Linked DNA regions of Rhinolophus ferrumequinum. The protein of the gene in region 1 interacts with the protein of each later gene in a pairwise test. Links are inferred from orthologs where the notes say so. Each region holds a gene or a part of one and is shown in the gene's direction. Other genes may lie near its edges.

Region 1 (7,108 bases):
TTGAAAGGAAGATATTTTGATGACATTCAGGACATCAAGTGTGTTACAGCCACAGCTCTGATGGCCATTCCAGAGAAAGAGTTCCAAAATTGCTTTGAAGGGTGGACTAGGCACTGGTGTTAGTGCATAGCTTCCCAAGGGGAGTACTTAGAAGGTGACAGTAGTGATATTCAGCAATGAGGTATGCAGCACTTTTTCTAGGATGAGTTTGCAAACTTAGTTTTCTGACCTCGTTGTAGATTTATTTATAACTACCCCAAACTGTAAGCAACCAAGATGTCTTTTAATAGGTGACTGGATAGATAAATGATGGTACATCCATACAGTGGAATGCTATTCAGTGATTGAAAAAAAAGCTATCAAGACACAGAAACACATGGATGAACCTTAAATTCATATTGCTCAGTAAAAGAAGCCAGTCTATAAAGGCTACATACTGTATGATCCCAATTATATGACATTCTAGAAAAAGTAAAACTACGGAAACAGTAAAAAGAGCAGTGATGGCCAATTGTTTGAGGGAAAGTAGGAAGGTTGAATAGGTGAAACATGGGATATTTCAGGGTGGTGAAACTATTTGTTGTGATATTCTACTGGTGGATACACAACATTGGCATTTGTCAAAACCTATAGAAGTATACAGCACCAAAGTGAACCTTAATGTTTGCAACATTTAAAAAAATTCTATAGGAGGTGTGGGGATTCAAGAATGAAATGCAGAACAACACAAAAGAATGTGTTTCAAATGTAGGAAACAACTTCATTGAAGGGGGTGGGGGAAAAGGTGCTGACATAAGTAATTTTGGAAATGAGTGAAGTCTGTAAGACTAAAATAAAACTATATATAAGCACTGTAATTTAATTGATAAACTTGAGCTGAATAATTAAACGGATGGAGGACTGTGGGAGCCTGGTTTCTCATTGCTGGAATGGGAATTTACAGATAGGCAAGAGGAGGCTAGAATGATCTATGTGGCAATAGAATGGGTAATATCAGTATGAACTCATGTATCTTAGTATAGATACAGACGGTCAAACAGAAATGTGTACACACATGGGTTGGAATATAAACATATTCATCTTTGTCAGTTAAGGGGCCTAGAAGGAATAACACTCCAGTAGCACTGAGCACAGTTTGCGTATCTTAGTTTCTAATACCATTCTCCAAGAAAAGGCACCAGAGCTTTTTGGAGAAATGATTGATTCTAGAACTGAGACAGGAAATACACAAGATGTGTCTGGAGCATCTTGTCACGCCAGACAGTAAGGAAGTGCTAAAACAAAATTAAACCCTATAATGATGAGGGCCAACCGAAAGAGCTCCCAATGGCCAGAGGTGGAACAATTTGAATAAGAAAATAAAATAGCATTGGATTTTAACCAAAAGTGTAAAATAAATATCCACGAGTCCATATTGATAAATAAATAATTGCATAACTAAATAAATGGGGGATAAGAGACAAATTTCCTATGCAGAAAAATTTGAAATAATTGATGTAGATACTCCATGCTGAAGAAGGTGCAACATAAACCCCTACTCCTTACATGTTAGAGTCACATAGTGACTTTCTTCCAAAGACTACAGTATGGAAAGGGAGGGAAAAAAAGAGCAACTTTACAGTGCAGAAACCTGACAAGTACGACCTCAGCCAGGTAATCAAGATTAACATCCTCAATGATAATCATGAGAAAAATCCTAACTCAGGTGCATTCTACAAAAATACCTGACCAATCATCCTTAAAATTGCAAAGGTCATCAAAACAAGAAAAGTTTGAGCAACTGTCGAAGGCCTGAGGAGCCTAAGGAGAGATGATGACTAAGTGTAATGTGATTAACTGGGTGGGATACTGGAACAGGAAAAGGACATTAGGTAAAAAAGGCTAAGGAAATTTAAATAAAGCACAGTCAAATCTGGGACAATTTGAGAAAATAAATATTGTTAATGTATTATCCCTCCGAATAAAAATATGAATCTATTGAATAAAACAAATCATGAGTCCAGACTGATATAAAATGAATAATTTGAAAGTTTGATGAGGAATTTGCATAGCTTTAAGAACTGACCCCCAAAATACTTGTTAATTACAAAGGGAAAAGGAGTAACTTTGCAGTGAAGTTTGGCAGACAACACTTTATTGAAATGTTCAGAGTTAGCATCACTGGAAATGGAACAAATGGAAATTGTGTGTTACTTGATAGGACGCAATGAGAATAGTCACACTTCTTAATAGTTCTGCTCGAAATGCCTAACCTGAGTCCAACCACAAAGAAACCTCAGGCAAACCCACGTTGAGTGTCATTCTATAACATCTGTCCTGGAATCTTCATGACTCTTTTATAGTGAGTTGTGTTCACGTGACCTATTTCTGGTTCACAAGATTTAAATGGAAGAAACTGGACTAGGCTTTAGGAAAAGTCATAAATTTTCTTAAAAAGGGGTAGACTAAGCTGGCATACACTTTTTGCCCTTTGTTCTACCCTTTTATTCTTACATCTTATAGATGCTATGCATAGATATGGAGGAATGCAATGCATTCCTTGTGATTGTGAAGAACTTAAGTCACAGATTAAGTGTTACAAAGCAGAAAAGGAGAAACAACCTGATTTCTTCAGCAATTTCACCATAGCTTCATGCTCTGTACTACATTTTCCCTTGTTTAATTAAATCATGGATGTCTAGTATCAGATGTGGCCAAATGCAAACTAATCAAAACAACTTCCTTTTCCCTTGTTTTTCTATATCAACCTATCTACTTCCCCTTCCTGATCCCAACATTTTTTTTGTTGGTCGTTTTATTGGTCTTGCCCTGTATTTACAAATTCACTTATGGACATCTGTTTTATGATGTTGAGCCTTCTTGAAGCACATGATATACCTTTTCATTTGTTCTAGTCTTCTTTTGTGCCTCAAGTAGGATTTAAAAGTTTTTGTCATAATTTTGCATGTTTCTACTATAAATACTATTTGTTCTTATTTGCCACATAATTGATGTGGGGTGGGGGAGACGTTTTTCCCCAAAAGAATCTGAAAAGACTTTTAATGTTATTTTAGTTAGTAATAAAAAAAATCAGTCAAGGTATAATTAAGGGGTTAAATATTTCAAGGTCAATTTGTAAATTAAAATTCACTTTTCTGTAACAAAAATACAATGTGTATATTCTATTTTACATATCAAACAAGTAAACATTACATGCTCAAGGTCAAGATTTTTACAGATTGGTAAAGCAGAAACTCCTGGGAAAGCTTCGTGCAAACACAAATTTAAGTTTACAAAACCTGGAAAGAAAGCATATTTATTTAATCTGGTTTATACTATTTTTAATGTCTTTAAGGTATCTAGTTTATATTTACTCTCCGGCCTTCTTTATCTTTGATTATAAGTGTGAATTCAGTGTGTTGTATTCTCAAAACCCTTGAACAGTACTTCAGAATGTCTTCATGGAACTTAAAGTTTGGAAGATACAAACATAAAACAATAAAAATCACACAAATAGGTAATTGCACACTGTCATGAAAAATGATTGGATGGATCTGAGCAAATAATACGAGATTAAATAAAAATGTAACATTTATTAACAGCTTAAATAAGTACCGATAAATTATGGAGTACAGTACAACACTCACATGACTGTTTCATATACTGGGAAAAAAAATCCACCAAAGCAAACCACCGAATCTTCAAAGCAATTTTGCCCTTCCGACTACCTTTCCGGCCAGCCTCCCGTCAGTTCATTCCTCCAGCACAGGGAAATTCTTTGGTTAGAAGGGCCCTTTGGTGGAAAACTTTTGAGATGTACGAACTTAACCTGTATGAGCTTCTAACTTACTCCGGGGATTTTAAGAGGAAATAGCTGAGAATGCTATTATCGTGCAAAGCGCATAATAAATGTATAGCGACATTAATCCTGCTCAGGGCGATCCCAATATACGAAGAAGGACAACTCCTCACTTTAATCTTCAAGTCTCTAAAACCTGGCGTTGGAGTAACCACAGGAACCAGATCCGCGCATGCTCTCTTGGTGGAACTGCGCCGGTTCTCTCCCTAGTCGGAAGTCCGGTTTGTTTATTAATTACGACAGTCGTAAACTAAGACTTCGTGATGGTTTCCTACTTTTACGACATCAACAACTATGGCGGCTGCCAGTGGTCGGTTTGAAAGTGAGAGGAGTATCCAAGAGCGTAAAGAGCAGACACGGATAGCCAGGGCCGAGGTGTTGCGCCAGGTAACTCCGTTTTGGGGTTTTGGGAACCATTTAGAATTGTGGCTGTTTCCTGGGAGCTAGGCCTCTGGCTCTCCTTCCTCCCTACCCCTTTTCTTCTCTCTCCATCAGTATCTCACCTTATCTGGGTCGAAACGGGGGGGGCGGTCTCCCTGTGGGATGCCTGCAAATTTTTGAGTATCTTCTCCCTCTTAGATGCTCTGGCAGGCTCCAATTGCTCATTTTCTTTTCAGGAAGACCTGTTTCTTTCCTCTGAGTTTCATTAACTTTTTACATAATGCGTTGACATTTCTATCACCTGGGCTGCGCACTTTCGAGGGACTACGCAACTAATGAGTCTCCCCAGCGTATGTCCCAGCCCCAGCCCTTACTCCTGCTGTTTGTGAAATGAAAATGTTCGTTTTCAGGAACACATGTAAGGCGCATTGGAGTAAATTGCGTTTGACCGTTTCATTCTCCTTTTGTACTATGGGTATCAGTTCCTGGCTTATTGTAAACCCTTACCGACCCAAACAAGGGTTGACACAACAGACCCAGGAAATTGCACCCCTTGAAAAAGACTGACAAACTATTTCTCATTAAGATTGAGATGCAGAGAGGTAACTTATAAAGAATGGAGGAAGTAAACTATGGAATTATCTGACAAAATGTAGGAAGTGTGGCAATGAAGGGAAAAATGAAGCAGAGAGCATCATAAAGTGTAAGTGAGAGTTTTTGTTTTTATTTGTTTTAAGATGGAAGAGTTTAAACGAGTTTAAATGCAGATGGGAAGTAGCAGGTAAAGGAGACAGGAAGGAGAAGATGTAATGACTACAGCCAGATTTTAAAGGGGAAGAGCGAGTGGGTGATTAATCTTAGACAGGTGAAAGGTCAGTATTGTTTTTTGATTTCAGCATATGAAACATATGTGTAACAAATATTTTTTATTTTTGTCTCTCTGATATTTCAGGCAGTGTTTGGAGGCAGTAGGTTTTGTAAGCTGTGATAAATTTTATAATAGAGATAAGCATAGAGTTTGAGAAGGACCAAGCCCAGCTTTCGAGTTTGGGAAGAGAATGAAAAAGCAGGAACAACCTTTTAGGAAGAACTTTATTTGAATATTGTTGAAGGATGAATAAAAATTCGCAATATGATCATTTTGTTTTTAGAAAGATGATTTTTCCTGAAGCATTTTTGGGGAGTGAGTAGAGAGTTATGGGCATTGCTGATGGAATGTATGGGGTATGGTGGTCATTCTCCTAACAATTAAAAATGTCTCAGGCGGTAGCACTGGGATGGTGAAGGGAAAAGAGTTTCAAGTCATACTTGAGATTGGAATCTTAAGGAAAGGGGAGGGTCTAGAATAGGTCCCAAGATTCTGTCCTTGATTGGTGGCTCTATTCACTAGAGATTCGTAATGGGCAAGGAGAGGGTCTTTTGTTTGTTTTTTTGTATTTTTGAAAATCTTTCCTACACTTTGGTAGAAGCGTAGGAAAAAATTACTGGTAAGAGACAGACTGTTGATTCATGAGAACATGTATGAAAGTGGGAGATTTTGTTTTACTTTTTTGTGAAACGCAGTTGGATCAATTGTTAATTTTTCTTTTTTCAATATTTTAGGCTAAAGCTAATTTTGAAAAGGAAGAAAGACGTAAAGAACTTAAACGACTTCGAGGTGAGGATACATGGATGTTACCTGATGTGAATGAGCGGATTGAACAATTCTCACAGGTGAATACTGTCAGGTCTACTTGATGTAAACACGTCGGACTGTTTCTGCATTTAATCTTGCAAGTTAATCTTGGAGGAGCAACTTTATAGACGGTTTTCAAGTTACAGAATGAATATCACATAGTGGGCATTACAGAATAGTTTTATCTCTTTGGCAGAAATAATATATTTTAATATTTTGGATATTGTGACTTTGGGTAGATTTTGTTACTTGAGTTGGCTGGTAGAGTTTCTGGCCCACTTGTAAGCTTATGGGTCTAAAAATGTATGCGTTTCAAGCTTAATGTCATGTGGGTTTTTCGTTTTTCTTCTTGTCTCAATTCTTGTTTTCTCTTTCCGTAATTTTAATTTATGCTATCTTGTTATATTTTAAATGTCCCAATAATCTTCTATAAATTCTTTTGGGGCCATAGAAGATATATACATATAAATGCATACACACATAAGTTTGTGTATATATGTTTTTATTTGATTATATCTGTTTGTCAAGTGAATCTACAAATAAATGAAAACTTCCCTCATATTTTTGGATAAGATATCTCAGCTCTATGATTTATTAGTAGTGCGTGTATTATAGAAGCATGTTAAGTTTTCTTAGAAGATTTTGTTCATGTAGTCATATTTCTTGTCTTAATTCATAAAAAAATTAAATATTTTTGGAACAGATTTTTTTTCTCTTAACATATTTCCTTTTAAAGTAAGATAAAACTAAATTCCTTTCTTAGTTTTGAAGAAGGTAATTCTTACCTCTTCAAAATGATTATTTATAGGAAAACTCTATGAAGAAAAAGAAGAAAAAAGACAAGCGTTCAAAAAAAGTAAAGAAAGAGAAGAAAAAAAAGAATAAGAAACAGAAGCATGAAAAAAACGAGTCAACTGATAGTTCATCAGTACGTATGTACTAAAACTAATCAAAGCACCTACTTGAGAAAATTTTATTTAAAGAAATAGTGTATGAGAACTTAAAAAATATTACCAGTTAGGATATGAAAAAGCTTGGGAGACATTTACTTGGAGATGTCAAGGAAATATTGGAAATAAGAATCTTAGGTTACAGAGAAAGGTAAGAAGATGGAGACGAAATTTGGGAATCATTGCTTATTAGAATAAGTGAATTGCCTCAGGAAACTGAAAAGAAAGATAAACACCAACACTGAGGAGCCAGACAGGAAGTAA
Region 2 (6,904 bases), on another chromosome or scaffold:
ATGACCCAGAAGTTCCACTCCTGGGTATTTATGCAAAGAAATTCAAAACACTGATTCAAAAAGATATATGCACCCTTATGTTTACTGCACCGCTATTCACAATAGCCAAGATATGGAAACAACCGAAATGCCCACCAATATGCGAACTGGATAAGGAAATTGTGATACATTTATACAATAGAGTATTACTCTGCAATAAAAAAGAATGAAATCTTACCATTTGCAACAAAATAGATGGACCTAGAGGGTATTATACTAAGTGAAATAAGTCAGGCTGAGAAAGACAAATACCAAATGATCTTACTTACATGTAGAATTTAAAGAACAGAATAAATCAACAAACAAGACAGAAATAGACTCATAGATACAGAAAACAGAAAACAGACTCATAGTTACAGATAACAAACTGATGGTTGCTAGATGGGAGAAGGGTTGGGGGGATGAGTGAAAAAGGTGAGGGGATTAGAAAATATTTACAAATTGGTAGTTACAAAATAGTCATGGGGATATGAAATACAGTATGGGGAATATAATCAATAATGTTGTAAAAACTCTGTATAGTGCCAGGTAGGTACTACACTTACGAGGAGCATCACTTCATAAATCATATAAATGCCTAATCACTACCCTGTACACCTGAAACTGATATAAAATAATAGTAAATGTCATTGAATTTCAACTATAAGTTAAAAAGCTATATAGTCACAGAATGTACGGTATAGGGAATAGAATCAGTGGTATTGTAATAGCTTTGTACAATGTCAGGGGGGTAGTAGACTTGGTGGGGTGATCACTTTGTGAGGTGTGTGTAAATGTCTAACCACTACGTTGTTTTGCACATGTGAAAGTAACAATAAAAACATACAGAGAGGCAGCTGCAAGAAGAGTCTACCTAGAGTTGTCAGCCTCCGGTCTTCTCCTTGTGCCTCCTGACTCATGTGGAAATGAATGACTCTTGGAAGAGAGTAGGGATGGTTCTCAGGATGGGGAGACTGTGAAATGTTGACACTAAACTGAGGCACCAGGAGCGCAGCAGATATTTTCATTTTGACCTTCAAATATTTTCAAAAGATGGAAGCAGGATCCCTAGGAGGAAACCAGAAGCAGATGGATTTCAGGCTTGTATCATGAAAGGCCTCCAGGCTAGTCCCTTCTAGTACAAAGACTCTGTGATATTAAGATTTTGTAATTCCCTGCTCTCTATCATTTAAAATTGAAGGAGAGATAAAGAGCTGCCCAGAAAAGAATAAGCTAAAGGAATTCATTACCACCAATCCAGCAGTGCAGGAAATGTTAAAAAGGGCTTCCGTAAACAGAAGAAAGATGAAAATAATCTAATTAATAAAGACCAGAAATACAAATAACAAAATGGCAATAACTATGTACCTACCAATAATCGCTTTAAGTGTAAAAGGATTAAATGCTCCAATTAAAAGATATAGGGCCGCTCCGTGGCTCAGTTGGTTGGAGCGCAGACTCTCAACCACAAGGTTGCCTGTTGGATTCCTCGAGTCCCACAAGGGATGGTGGGCAGCGCCCCCTGCAACTAAAGATTGAACTAAAGATTGAGCTGCCGCTGAGCAACCAGATGGTCAGATGGCTCAGTTGGCTCAGTTGGTTGGAGCGCATCCTGTCAACCACAGGTTGCCGGTTTGACTCCGGCAAGGGATGGTGGGCTGTGCCCCCTGCAACTAACAACGGCAAATGGACCTGGAGCTGAGCTGCGCCCTCCACAACTAAGACTGAAAGGACAACAACTTGAAGCTAAACGGCATCCTCCACAACTAAGATTGAAAGGACAACAACTTGACTTGGAAAAAATCCTGGAAGTACACGCTGTTCCCCAGTAAAGTCCTGTGGAAAAAAAAAATCTGTTCCTCCAGAGATTTAGATAGATAAGGTGTTCTATCAGTTTCATCTTTCTCAAGGAGTTTCTCCTGATACCTTCTGACCTGTGTCAGTCTGTCGAGTGCACAGTGTTGTCCAGGCATTACTTCATTTTCTCCTGTGTCGTATCTTCTGTTTAATATGTCCTATGTCTTCTTTTTTCTTTGTTTAGTCCTTCATATTAGTGGAGCAGAACCTCCAGTAGCTTCCTGGGAAAGGAGAAGGGAAATGTTTTGAGACCTTGAATGTCTGAACGCACCTTTATTTTTTACCCACATTTGATTGGTAGTTTACTAGTAAAGCTAAATTTTCAGTTTGAAATAAATTTCCTTTTGAAATTTGATAGAATTATTCCCATGTCTTCTAGCTTTCTCTGTAACTGTTGAGAAATGGAAAGATATGCTGAGTCTTGAGCCTTTGTTTTCTCTCCCAAAGCTTAGGGGTTATCTTTTTGCCCCCAGTACTCTGCAGTTTCACAATGATGAGCCTTGGGGTCAGTCAATTTTTATCCATGTGCTGGGCAGTCAGTGGGCTCTTTTAATGTGGCAACTCATGATTTTTAGTTTGGAAAAATTTTCTTGTTTTATTGATGATCATGCCTTCCCTAACCCCTGTTGGTTTTTTTTTTTTTTTTCCTGAACTCTTATTTTTCAGATTTTGGGTCCCCTGGAGTGGTCCTCTAATTTATTATTTTTCTTTTGTATTTTTCATTTCTTTGTTCTTTTGTTTGTTTTTCCCCTAGAATATTTCCCGACATTTATCTTCCAACTTTTACTGAACTTTTCATTTCTGCTATCATATATATATATATATGTATATATGTATATATATATATATATATATATATTCTGTTATATTATGGTTGCAATGGTATCTGATATCTCAGGATACTGATTATATATATAATTTTCTTTTTATTGGGAATATTGGGGAACAATGTGTTTCGCAAGGGCCCATCAGCTCCAAGTCGTTGTCCTTCAGTCTAGTTGTGGAGGGCACAGCTCAACTCCACATTCAGTTGCCGGTTTCAATCTTTAGTTGCAGGGGGCACAGCCCACCATCCCATGTGGGAATTGAACCGGCAACCTTGTTGTTTAGAGCTTGCATTCTAACCAACTTAGCCATCTGGCCAACCCTTAGAAGCTCAGTGGCAGCTCGTTTTCTTCAATCTAGTTGTGGAGGGTGCAGCTCACTGGCCCATGTGGGAATCAAACCGGCAACCATGTTGTTCAGAGCTCGTGCTCTAACCAACTGAGCCATCCAGCTGCCCCCATATAATTTTTAAAAACGTTTTCTCCTCACTGAATGGTTTCTGTTTCCTCTAAGAGTTGCTGCTCTGGCCCCCACCCTTATTTATGTCTCTGTGGCACCACCACCTTCCATGTTTGTTTTGAAGTCAAATCCAAGAGTCCTCTACCTATCTCTTGCTATCAGGTATCTCCTATTCCTCCTACCCAGCAAAGAGCAGGTATGGTAGGGTATTGGCACTGGGTAAAGTGCATATTAAATGCTGAATCCTTTTCCTCTATTCAGCTCCCAGAAAGTTTATAACCAGATCTGCATCCTCCAGACAGGACATTGGAGGGTTATCTCTAGTTGAATCTGATCAGCCTGAAAGGAAAGATGCAAAAATAATGACATTGGAAGTTCTCCAACTAAACAGCCCAACCAAATTACATTAAAGATAGTCAACAAGCCCACCCTTACACCTTCATCTGGAATATCATCTAAAATATAAATTGAAATGATTCATACTGAATTTATGGTGTGGAGGGAGGGATATCTTCAAGCTCCATCATTAACGGCCCCAGGGAGCTGGAGGAGGTTTTACAGGGGCTGGGAAGGACCGCCCCCTTTCACCCGAGAGCCTCCGGGGCTGCGCCCAATTCCTAAGCGGCCTTCCCGGCCCCTGCCGGCAGGGGGCGCCACCGCGCACGGCCGGCGGCTGCGACGACAGGGCCTCTCTGGGAGAAGAGGAAGAAACCAAAGAGACGGGGAAAGGAAGTTGCGGTGGCGCTCCGCCCTGCAGTCCGCGAGACTGAGTTGGTGTCTGGTAGCTGGCCGGAGCCGGGCTCCACGCGCCACGCTGGCTGCTCCTGGAGCCGAGGATTTACCCGGAGGCGCGATGCTGGGGTCCGGCCAGATCGGCGAGGCGCCCGCAACCCCGGTGAGGCGGCCCTGATGGCCTGGGGAGGGGACACTGGTGGGCCAGTGAGGTGGCACAGATCTCCCAGAGGGGATTGTTTCCGTGGCGGCCGGGTTGAGGACGTGTTTCTCGTGACCCGAGAGAGATGGCTCTTGCAACCCTGGTGAGGTGGCACAGACCTCCCAGGGGAGGTAGTCCCAGAGAGGTGGCTGTGGCGATCCCGGTGAGATGACACTTGTCTCTGGGGAGGTGACCCTGGCGGCTAGGCAAGGTAACGCCAACGGTCCTGGGGAGGTGGCGGTGGTGGCCCTTTTGGAACCTGCATCAAACAGCCCCGGTCGCTCAGGAATGGGCCCGGCTCCGGCCAGCGACCCCGGGGGAAGGGGTCTGGGTCCTCGTGGTCCTCCAGTGTATGTTCTCTTGCATGAGTTCGTTTGCTACTTAAGTCTTAATGTGTTTGTTACACCTCTTCTTCTAGTGCTGCTCTGAAAGTGATGATGAAAGGAAGAACTTCAAGGAGAAAAGTAAGCGACTTCAAACACCTTAGCACTGTCTGTCTACCCAGCCAGCTCTCCAAACTCTGCCTTCCAGTGTCTGCAACCGAGAAGGGTCTTACCCTGTTATGTTTTAGATGAAGTATTTATTTTTCCTGCATAGTATGCTTGCATAGTATTAAATACTGATTATCGTTATACACATTTTTTTGTCTTTCTAAAATTCTAAAATATGGGATGATTTAGAGAAGAGCACTTCCTGACTCCTATCTCGTGCAGAGACTGAGTGGTTTCACGGGAGTTCTGCCCATCAGACTAATTCAAAATAATTGGGGCCTGCCTGTTATTAATATTTTAATGCAGCATCAACTTTTTAAGCATCAGGAATTTGGAGGGGCTAATGATCTAGGAGACATGCCTGCCACTTTAATTGTGTTCAAAGAAGTTTAGCTCATTCAAGAAGTTTAGATCATTGTTTAGCTGTAATTGACCAGTGAATTTGCACTTAAAAATTGATCTGGAAAGAAAACAATGGATAACTTGGTTCCTGGATCTTGGACTGGACAAGGAAGAGGGAAAAGGTACCTCCATTTCCTACCTTGGACAGGAGCATATGTCAGGGATGTGGACATTTGTCGTTTTACTTTAATGAGCTCAGCGTGGCAGGCTTTTGGAAATCAAGGAATCATCAGGGGCTTTTGAAGTAGAATTTATTGGGGGAGGAAGCAAAAAGGATGTAACAGCTATTCCATCAGAGGGTTTTTGGTTCTTCTGACCAGGGCAGAAATAGTCTGGGAATGAGTAGTGGTAAGAGAAAAAGGTGCCCATGTTACCGTGTTGGCTTTAAGAGCTAGGCTTGTCCTTAACATTGTCTACTGATGTAATCTGCATCAGACAGAAAGCCTTTAGTAGTCCATAGCCCTTGACAATCATAGCTGCCACAACTCAGCTCCTTTTCCTTAGAGGATTTGAGAGTACCCCATGTCTTTCAGTTAAACCCTTCCCTTTTCCACCTTTGCCCCATTCATGTCTGGGAAGTTAGTGCCTATTGAGCTCTCATGTTTGTAAAATGATCGATGCAGACTATAGACTTTGCCCTTGTCCCTCCTTTGGCTAGGGCCACTTCTTTGCAATTTATAGTAATGCTCGGTACAAAAAGTAGAGAATAGGAGAGACATAAAACCTCCAAACCACTAGCGTGTTATTTTGAAGAACCTAATTTGACTAAGAATGTACTATGCTGCATTTAATTGGTTATATAAAAAGAGTATAATATTTTAAAAAGTGAAGATAGAATTTACTCCCTTAGCATTCACAAAATAGTCCCTTTGCACGTAGCCCTGCCTCTGCAGGCACGTAGTGTCTGCAGATGTACCACGTAACTCAGTTGTTTAAGATAAAAAAAGAGAAGACATTGTAATTCCTGTACATGACCATAAATGGTTTTCTGTATTAGTAAAGTCTGATGTGGACCAGCTAATTCTGCTCATATTTGAAGAAGAGAATAATATTGGATTGAGAGTCAGAAAGCCAACATGGCATAGTCAGCAAAGGTATACCTGGAGAGACTCGGAAAAAGGAGCAGTGCTGTTGGTCCACAAATCTAGGACAGTGGAAAATAATTTAATTGCCTTTCAAGTGGATTATGTGTTTACTAGAAATTTGTTTTTTTGAGTGTTTTGTTTAGATAAAAATGGAAAAATTATTATAAGGAGTGGACTCTGGAAAATATCACATACTAAATGGGATGAGACAAAACTATCCAAAGCTAGTAAATGTTGCCTCTGCTGCTATTCTTCTCCAAGAAATGGTTTCAGGGTTCCAAATCACCTGTTTTTGTCACATTTAAGAAGTCCAATGTGAATTAATCCAAGTCTAGTTTATTTGCCATGGAAAGATTCTCACTTAAGACTGTACAATTTAGTGCATGCCTTAGTCGTTTTGAATTTTTCCTAGTAATTTGTGTTTTCTCTCATTTCCTTTAAAATTTTTTTTTCTGTTTCTGACATGGACATCTTCATACAATGGCATTTGAAGCTTTTAACACTTTTTTGCTCTTATAGAAGGAGGAGTTTTTACTCATTTCAAAATTTTTTCCTATGCTTGAAATTTTTTAATACTATTTTTTTTTCTTGACACCTTGAAGTCAGAGTCCTCCTTTGTTGTTATTTAGACCATACCATCTGGTTCCTTACAGATTTTGGAAATATATTAGACCATATATTAAAACCATACCAATAAAATCAGATTTGTCCTTGTTTTCCCAGTAATAAAATAGATTCTTAACATATAAGGTCTCCTGGAAATGTTTAATATCTATTTGTAACTGCACTGTCATGCAAATATCTGTTGAAACCTGTGGTTACTAGGACTTTAG
Region 3 (8,003 bases), on another chromosome or scaffold:
GCAATTTCCAAGCTGATACAGAGCAAAACACTGTGGGGGAGACCCCCCCCCCACCCTCACAGCCCTTACAGCCAGAGCCAGTAACTCACAGCTGTGGTTACCCGCGCGCTGATTTCTGTTTTAAAAAATACTGCTGGATAAACAGTGAGGGAAACCCGAGCTGTTCCCACACCACATAAATCCCCAGTTTGCTGTCCTATCTGGTTAGCTGGTTTTCCCCCAAATAATGGCACTGCTGCCTTGCAAGCAAGGGCTGCAAAAGTGCGCCCCGGGAAGTGGGTGACCAGGAGTCTCCCAGGCTGGCGCCCTGCCCAGCCAGCACTGGTGGCCTCACTCCTTCTCTCTTTCAGCACTTCCTGCCCAGGGGCACTCACCTTTGTCCTCACTCTCTCCACCTTGATGCCCTTCCTCCCTCTTTCCTCTTCCCTTCTGCTTTGTCTCACTCAAAAGGCCTCCATGGGAGACCTTCCTGGGGGACCCTGGGCTCCTCCTGCAACCAGAAGGCCCACAGCCAAAGGCAAACCTACCCAACTACCACACACCCTGCTGGAATGCTTCCTTTAGAGTTTCCTTCCAGAACCTTCTGTCAAAGTGCAAATATCCTGGCTGAGAAGGTAAGGCCTGAGCCTTCTTCATCAGGATGACTTTGGTCTTAGATTAAGGTTTCCAGACTTAGGGGGGCAAAAAAAGACACCCAGCTAAATTTGAATTTCAGACAAACAACAAATAACTTTTTAGCATACGTCACCAGTATCGCATGGAACATATTTAACCGGGCTCCCTGTATTTTATCTGGTTGCCCTTACTTAGAGCCTTTCCTTTAGTTCAACACACCTCTAACTCCTTCAGGCACAGAAGCCCTAGAAAGGGCATGTTTGCTGAGCACCTCCTGAGTGTATGTATGTGGTCTACACAGCAAGCCTCCACTTTGCAGTTGAGGAACACGAGGTCACGTGACCTCCAAGAGCCAGGGTTCTGATGCAGGCCCCTCTATGTATTGGGTTTTTCAGTCATCTGCCCAGAATCTTAGTAACAGACAAGGTATGACTAGCACCAAATGTTTAAAAAATATATTCATGAGAGAAAACATTCGACTGAGGAAACTCTCATTAACTCAGTGTTTTCTGGGATTTAAGAAAAGACCACATTATTGGTTCCCTAGGGCGGAATGTCTTGGCCCCACCTTGCAGGCTTCACAGGGGCACCTGCAATAGTCCTGAGGCCTGCATTCTGTGGTTTACTCAACCCTGTCCTGTCCATCCTATTATTTGAGCCTCACAAAGTCCTATGGGGTAGTATGACCCTGCTGCCGTAAAGCTTTCTGAGGAGCAAACGACATACACAGTCCAAATAAATGCCAGGCCCAGGGGTAAATATCCTAATCCAGTGTGAGTTCCACCATATTCAACGCTTGTCTGTCTCCTGTTTCCATCCCCTGAGGTCTTGCTCAGTAACAGGTGTCTTGTCCAGTTCACATGTTCAGTATTTCACAGGACCTTCTGGAGTTGTCCTTAAGGAGAAAATCTCAGGTATTTTCTTCATCATCGTCATCCAGCTATTACCACTGAAAACTGTGTACCAGATTTTGGTGAGAGCTTTCCTACTTCACCTCACTCACTTCTCTCAGCAACCTAATGGGGAAAGAAGAAAAAGCTTACTCCCGTTTTACAAATGAGAAAACTGAGGCTCAAGTGATCAAGTGAGTTGCTCAAGGCCATTCAACTTACTAGTGGCAAAGGTAGGATTGGAACCCATGCCCTCCTGGTTCCCAAGGCCATGATCTTGACCTTCTGTTATGTTGCCATAGGAAAAGGTATTGGGGGGCTTGGATGGGCCATCTTCATCCTCCACTGAGATGTGACATGCCCTGTGGTCCAGCAGAATAAAGAAAGAGAAGGCATAATAATTCTCCACATGTATCACCCTTTATAGTCAGCCAGCTCTTTTCACAGACATCAGTTCATTTATCCTCAGAACAGCCACAGGAGGCTGGTACTGTCATCTTCATTTTGCCAGTGAGAAAACCGACGCTCAGGAAAGGGGTGTAACTTGCCTGAGACCCCACAGCTGAGGAAAGGCAAGAGAGAAGACTTGAATTCAAGTCTTCTGCCTAAAGGCCCCAGGTTCTCCCTCAGGCACCCTGCAAGTCCCCGCACAAATGGGTGGGGTGGCCAAGCACAGAAGTGGGTCTGTAGTGCCAAGGACACGCCTGTTTGTCATGCGTAATGGGGGAAATTCCAAAAGTTCTTTGGGATGGCTCAGGTGTGGCCCTCCTCAGGGGCCCTCAAGAACCCTCCCCCTAACGCACGCTTTTCCTTTTCCTCCCCCTACCACCCCCAACAACAACCAGAAACGGGAGCCCCTCCCTTCCTGAAAACCCTGCTCTTCTTGGCCGCCCAGCCTCAGGGTTGAGCCTTTTTTCCACAAACAGCCACTTCCATCCATCTCTGTCTCGTGGGCCTGTGGGGCCTTGACAGGGAAATGCTGACTTTGAGGAGGTTAAAGGTGCTGGTGCCCGGCCTTCATCTAACAAATGGGTTGCCGAGAGGGGAGGAACCGCTGTTGTTTTTTCCTGGCCTCAGAAGAGGGGCCTGTCAGGAAGATGTAGAGGCCAGCAGGGCCCCCAGCCGCGCCCTGCAGGGTAGCTGACAGACACCGGCAGCTGTGTGGGCGCCGGGGTGCCAGGGCCCTGCACAGAGTACCCCTGCTACGCCCCCTCCCTGCTGCCCCTCCTGACCTCTCCACCCACTCCACCATGACCCAGGGCCCACCCCTTCTAGGGGCAAAGGGCCAGGCGGCTGGGTCTCCCTGGGATGGGGTCCCTGGACCAGATGTGAAGGCAGAGCAGGAATCTGGTTACAGCCTGCCGGGGCCAGGCCCCAGGAAGGTTTACCTAGAGAAGCTGACAGACCAGATATTCCTCCCAGAATATCTGAGGGATTCCTTCTAGAGCCCCCACAACCTGGAGCGTCTCGAGGGACCTCTCAAGGCTGTTTCTGTAGAATTTCTCAGTGCTCCCCAGTCCTACAGTCTCCCTTTGGAATCGTTGAGTTAAGAATGAGATATGCTAGAAAGCGAGCCTCATTTATCTGTTACCTACTTCACAATTCACATAAATTATTCATTTAAAAATTTCAAATGTCTGTGCAGTAGGCATTCTGATGCAGTGGGGCCAGGCTGCCTGGATTTGAATTCTGGATCTTCCATTTCCCAGCTATGTGACCTTGTGCAGGTTACACAGTCTCTCTGTGCTTCAGAGTCCTCTTCTGAAAAATGGAGATGATGAGAGAAACAATTGCCTCAGAGGGCCTTTGTGGGGATCCATTGGGGGAATATATGTGAGATGCTAAGATCAGTGGATGAATGTCCGCTATCATCAGTGGATGAATGGACTATCATCCCAGATGAGGGAACAGAGAAGCTCAGAGAGGTGAGGTTTCTTGTCCCAAGACACACAGCGAGAAAGTGGCAGACCCAGGATTTAAACTCACATAGGTTTAAGCCCAAAGTCCATGCATCAGTCCAAGCTGCTCCAGACACCTGAAGACAATTCCTGGTTCTGCCATTTCTTAGCTGTGTGATTCTGAGCAGCCCATGTCATCTGTCTGAGCCTCATTTCGCTTGCTTGTAAAAGTAGAACTCAATTCTCACTTTACCCATACTGGGGGAGTGGTGAGCTTCAGAGAAGAAATGTGTATGCAACAGCAGAGTCCCAGACAAAGCAAAGAGATGAGTCTAGTTTGTGGCTATGGCTCCATCCCCTCTGCTGCCCTACAATGCCCATTCCAAAAGATGAAATACCTGTTTCAAGAAGAGCATGTACGCAGCCTCCAGGCTGCAGAGCTAAGACCCCTCCTCCTTTGAAACCAGCCAGCAAAGATGGAATGGTCCGTGCCCATTTCAGCCCCAATCGTGCCACTCTGGATCATGGAAATATTCAGTGGGAGAGGAGCTCTGGGCTCGTGGGCTGGGACTGTCATCCTCCAAGAAACTACATTAACCCTCCAGAAAGACCAGCGAGGCCGTGGGATGAAGTAGAGGGACTGACTGGTTAAAATGGCAATTGGCCCTCCTGTGATAGGTACCAGCTAGGAAGACCACGTGACTGTTTGCCAAAGAGAACTCCTTTGGGAATGAGAATACCCCTGATTCTATTTCTGTGCCCCAAAGTCCATGGAAGCCTTGGCCTCTGGGAGTGGAGAGGGGGAAGCAGGTTGGTGAAGGTTAGGAGGCCAGGGAGCAGGTGGGGGAGGCCTGGAGAAACTTCAAGGACTTTACCTACAGAGGCTTTCCTTTGCCGTGGAGAAAAATGACTTGAAACCCCTCTAGAGAAGAGTGTGGCTAATTGGCATTAAGTTGGGGGTTAAAGAGCGGAAGGAAGAATCTGATTGTTTTTTTAAGTTACTGAGAAAGTGAGAATGTCACTTTGGGCAGAGAGAAAAAAATTTTTTCTGGAGTATGTCTTTCTTTATACCACAGACCCTAGTGGGCCACGGAGACTTGCAAAAAAAGATTTCTTTTAATCCACCTTCCTTTTTGCAAGCAGCAGTAGAAGGGCTTTTAAATCAAATGCAATCAGCAAACTTGTCTCTTGCACTTATTCCCTGCTTCACTCCCTGGAATTTGGCACTTGATGGATTCTGGATCTGACTTAAGGCTTTTTCCAAATCCAAGACTTGGGGAATTTTGTTAACAGTGCAATAAAATAACTTCATAGTGTTACAGGAGGCACATTAAAGAAGTTGTGTGTGTGTGTGCTGCTCTCTCTCCTTCAAAAAAAAATACAGACAATGTTTCTTTAAAAGTCTCCATCTGCAAATCCCATTAGATGTGCATATAAGGTTTCCGATGATTAATAGTTGCCTGCTCGGGTTTTGGTTGGAGGGGATCGTGTGGGTGCGGGTTAACCCCTCCCTCTCCTCTCTCACATTTCACTTCAGAAATTTGTCACTCTCTCCCCACCGCAGCATTTAAAAGTGTGTCTCAGCAGCCCTGGTCCGGCCCTCTGCAGGCATTTGCTGTGGGCTCCAGGACGAGCACTCCATCAGCTGGTGCTTCTGGGCTGGGACAGTGAAAATGTTTAGTGTCATCGGCAACAAATACATGTACAGGGGACCCCAATAGGCAGGCTGGTGTGTCGGGGAGCAGGAAGCCAGGAGTGAAGTCCGACAGAGGTGTGTGTATACATATACGTGTAGCTGGACACATGTGCGCGGACTTTAAAAAGCGACTTTAGTTTTGGTTTTTGTCTCGGTTCCTGGGGTGAACTTTCTATTGAACATTTTTCCCTCCTATTTGATTTTTTTTTTTTTTGCATTTTTAAAAATTTGAATATAAACAGTGTAAGAATCAAACCTTTGAAAGACTGAGGCGTGCAGCAGACGGCAGATGGATCCTGTGGCCAGCAGCTGCATGAGGAGCCCCCACCCCCCAGCTCCTGTCTGGGGCTGCCTTCGAAATCCCCACTCCGAAGGCAGTGGGGCCTCAGGGCTACCCCACTACCCGCCAACCCCATTCTCCTTCCACCAGAAACCAGACTTCCCGGCGACAGCGACAGCAGCATACCCCGACTTCTCGGCCTCCTGCTTGGCGGCCACCCCACACAGCCTTCCCCAGGAGGAGCGCGTCTTCACTGAGCAGCACCCTGCCTTCCCACAGCCCCCTGACTGGCATTTCCCTGTCTCCGAGACCCGGCGCAGGCTCAACCCAGGCCCAGCTGGGGGCTCTAGGGAGATGGGGGCCAGCAGCCCAAGCCTGATGGACGCCACGGGAGGCCCAGGTGAGGACTACGAGGTCCTTGGAAGCACTGCCAACGAGACAGAGAAGAAGTCAACTAGACGGAAAAAGGAGAATTCAGGTAGGTGGCTGAAGAGCAGCTGACCATTCTTTTACTGTGCAATCTTGGAGAGGTCACTTGCTCTCTCTGAGCTCAATTGCCCTGACCCATGAATTGTGACCAGTACTATCTAAAGGCAAGAATTACCTTTGGGATTTCTTCTACTTCAGAGTTCTAGAATCCTCTGGTGATGGGGGCTGTGTCTGTGTTCCCAGCACTCCTGGGCCCTAGGAAGGATGTGCCAGCAAGAGAATAAAACAGGATCCACAGAGACTTGGAGGATATGTGGGATGGAGCCTCAGTACAAGCTGGCAAGGGCTGGAGAAGGGCTTTCCTGAACCCCAGCAGCCTCTGGGTCATGCTTCTCCCCACCGTGCTCCAGCTGGATCCAAATGATCTGCAGAGCCCCAGGGTTTGCTCAACAGGGCAGTCAGAGGCTTGGAGGGCTAGGACTGAGGCTAGCACCCTGGGCAGTCAAGCAGAGCCAAGATCCTATGACTCCAGGAGACTGGAGGCAGAGAAGCAGGCCTAGGGCTGGGATGAGAGCGGCAAGGAGTAGGGAAGCTGGAGTATGAGATTTGGGGCAGACTGCCCACAAGGTATCACCCTGCCCAGTTGGACTGTGCCCAGGCCAAGGGGGCAGCTCAGTATGCTAAGTTCTCGTTGACCCCCAGAAAAGGCCCTCCTAAGGGGTCACTGGCCTTGGGGAGAGTCAGGAAGGCAGGCAGCTGAGGGCAAGCACTGGACCTCAGAATGCAGGTAAAACCCCGCTCGGTGTTGGAGCCCCAGAGGCCAGAGGATGGAGTTGGTTGGCCCACTTGTTGAGATCCCAGCTAAACTCCATCTCCTCCCTGTGGTAGAAACCTGTTGTTTCCTCCTCTCCCCATGGGGGCATCCCCGGCTTCTCTCGCTGCCTATTCACCTTTCCTATCATTCTTTGGCCCCGCCTTGCCCAAAACAAGGCAGTGTCCATGCCTCCTGCCCCCATGGCCCGCTATGTCCTCCTGACAGCCGCCCTTGGGGCAACATCTGTACCTACGGAGGACCTTCTCATGGGGCTAACCAGCACAGGCAGAAAATGAGAGTGCCAACCAACCAATGAGAAGGTGCTTTGCAAAGCACCTTCAATGTAGCACAAATTTCCCAAGTATCTTCTCTTTGTCAATCACTGGCCAAAGCACTGGGGATGCAGAGATGAATAAGATGGTCTCGACCCTCCCCCACCCAAAGAGTTTAAACTGAGAAGGCAGAGAGGTCTGCAGATGCCTGTCTGGCAGTGGATGTGCTATAATCAGGGAGGTTCAAGGTACGGTGGGCAACACTCATTAGTTCTTTTTGAGTCCCAGCAGTTTGCGAGGCAAGTACAGCAAGTCTTACCAGTATCTTGGTTCTTACACGTGTGGAAAAGGAGATTCGGAAAATTTGAGGGGATCCCTGCTAGGATGGAGTCTAAAGAGAGTGAACCACTCATCTCAGTTTGCCCAGGACTTCTCTGATTTTAGCATTGAAAGTCCAGTGTGCCAGAAAACCCTCAGCTCCGCACAAACCAGGACAGTTGGTCACCCTCGAAGTGAGCTCAAACCCGGAACTTCAGATCCCAGATCCCACACCCTTCAGTAGGTTTCAAGCACAATAGTCATTTTGACATATTTGGTCTCCATGCTTGAAGAATCCCCTCAACACACTCATAATAGATGGGAATGACCACAACCCTCCTGGCTGTTCAATAGAAGGGACTTTTAAATCGTCAACCGGTTAAATCCTGAATTACTCCCAGCCCTGGTTGGAGATTTGCCGATGATCGGGCACTTTCTGCTTCTTCTCTCCAAGGAGCTCTCAGCAACTTGGTCCTGTGCCTGGCTGAAGAGCTCTCCCCTCTGTGGGCCGGCCACCGTAGCTCCATCTCTGCCCACACCTCCCTTGGCTGCATCCAGCCACTTTCCTGGGAACTGGGAGCCAAGGCACTGGGAAGGCATGGGCAAAGCCAAGGGCTGGGCTTAGGCAAAATCATTCCGTGTTTCAGCAAGATCCAAATGAGTGTCTTTCCTTTTGGCCGGTGGCCCATGGAACTGCATTAGGGAGTAAGCTCTCATGCCAAGCAGCTGACCATCCCCAAAAGCACATGGGCACCCTCTCCTGAATGCCCTGCACTCTTCACAGGGTCAGC

The links.
Region 2: the proteins of CWF19L2 (region 1) and RINT1 interact in binary tests that used the Homo sapiens proteins (3 or more experiments, as listed by UniProt). The two-hybrid records come from large-scale screens. The link is inferred for Rhinolophus ferrumequinum from reciprocal best matches to the Homo sapiens genes CWF19L2 and RINT1.
Region 3: the proteins of CWF19L2 (region 1) and MEOX1 interact in binary tests that used the Homo sapiens proteins (3 or more experiments, as listed by UniProt). The two-hybrid records come from large-scale screens. The link is inferred for Rhinolophus ferrumequinum from reciprocal best matches to the Homo sapiens genes CWF19L2 and MEOX1.

The regions. Positions count from the first base shown.
Region 1 is NC_046294.1:76,275,377-76,282,484, reverse strand, and holds the start of CWF19L2 (CWF19-like protein 2), read left to right. Parts: upstream 1-4,102; 5' UTR 4,103-4,132; coding exon 4,133-4,225; intron 4,226-5,821; coding exon 5,822-5,932; intron 5,933-6,702; coding exon 6,703-6,822; intron 6,823-7,108.
Region 2 is NC_046303.1:48,938,049-48,944,952, forward strand, and holds the start of RINT1 (RAD50-interacting protein 1), read left to right. Parts: upstream 1-3,929; 5' UTR 3,930-4,012; coding exon 4,013-4,054; intron 4,055-4,511; coding exon 4,512-4,557; intron 4,558-6,904. Other genes in the region: serine/threonine-protein kinase MARK2-like, read left to right, coding at 3,807-3,929. UniProt on the Homo sapiens protein: Involved in regulation of membrane traffic between the Golgi and the endoplasmic reticulum (ER); the function is proposed to depend on its association in the NRZ complex which is believed to play a role in SNARE assembly at the ER.
Region 3 is NC_046304.1:38,913,195-38,921,197, reverse strand, and holds the start of MEOX1 (homeobox protein MOX-1), read left to right. Parts: upstream 1-4,990; 5' UTR 4,991-5,388; coding exon 5,389-5,857; intron 5,858-8,003. UniProt on the Homo sapiens protein: Mesodermal transcription factor that plays a key role in somitogenesis and is specifically required for sclerotome development. Required for maintenance of the sclerotome polarity and formation of the cranio-cervical joints.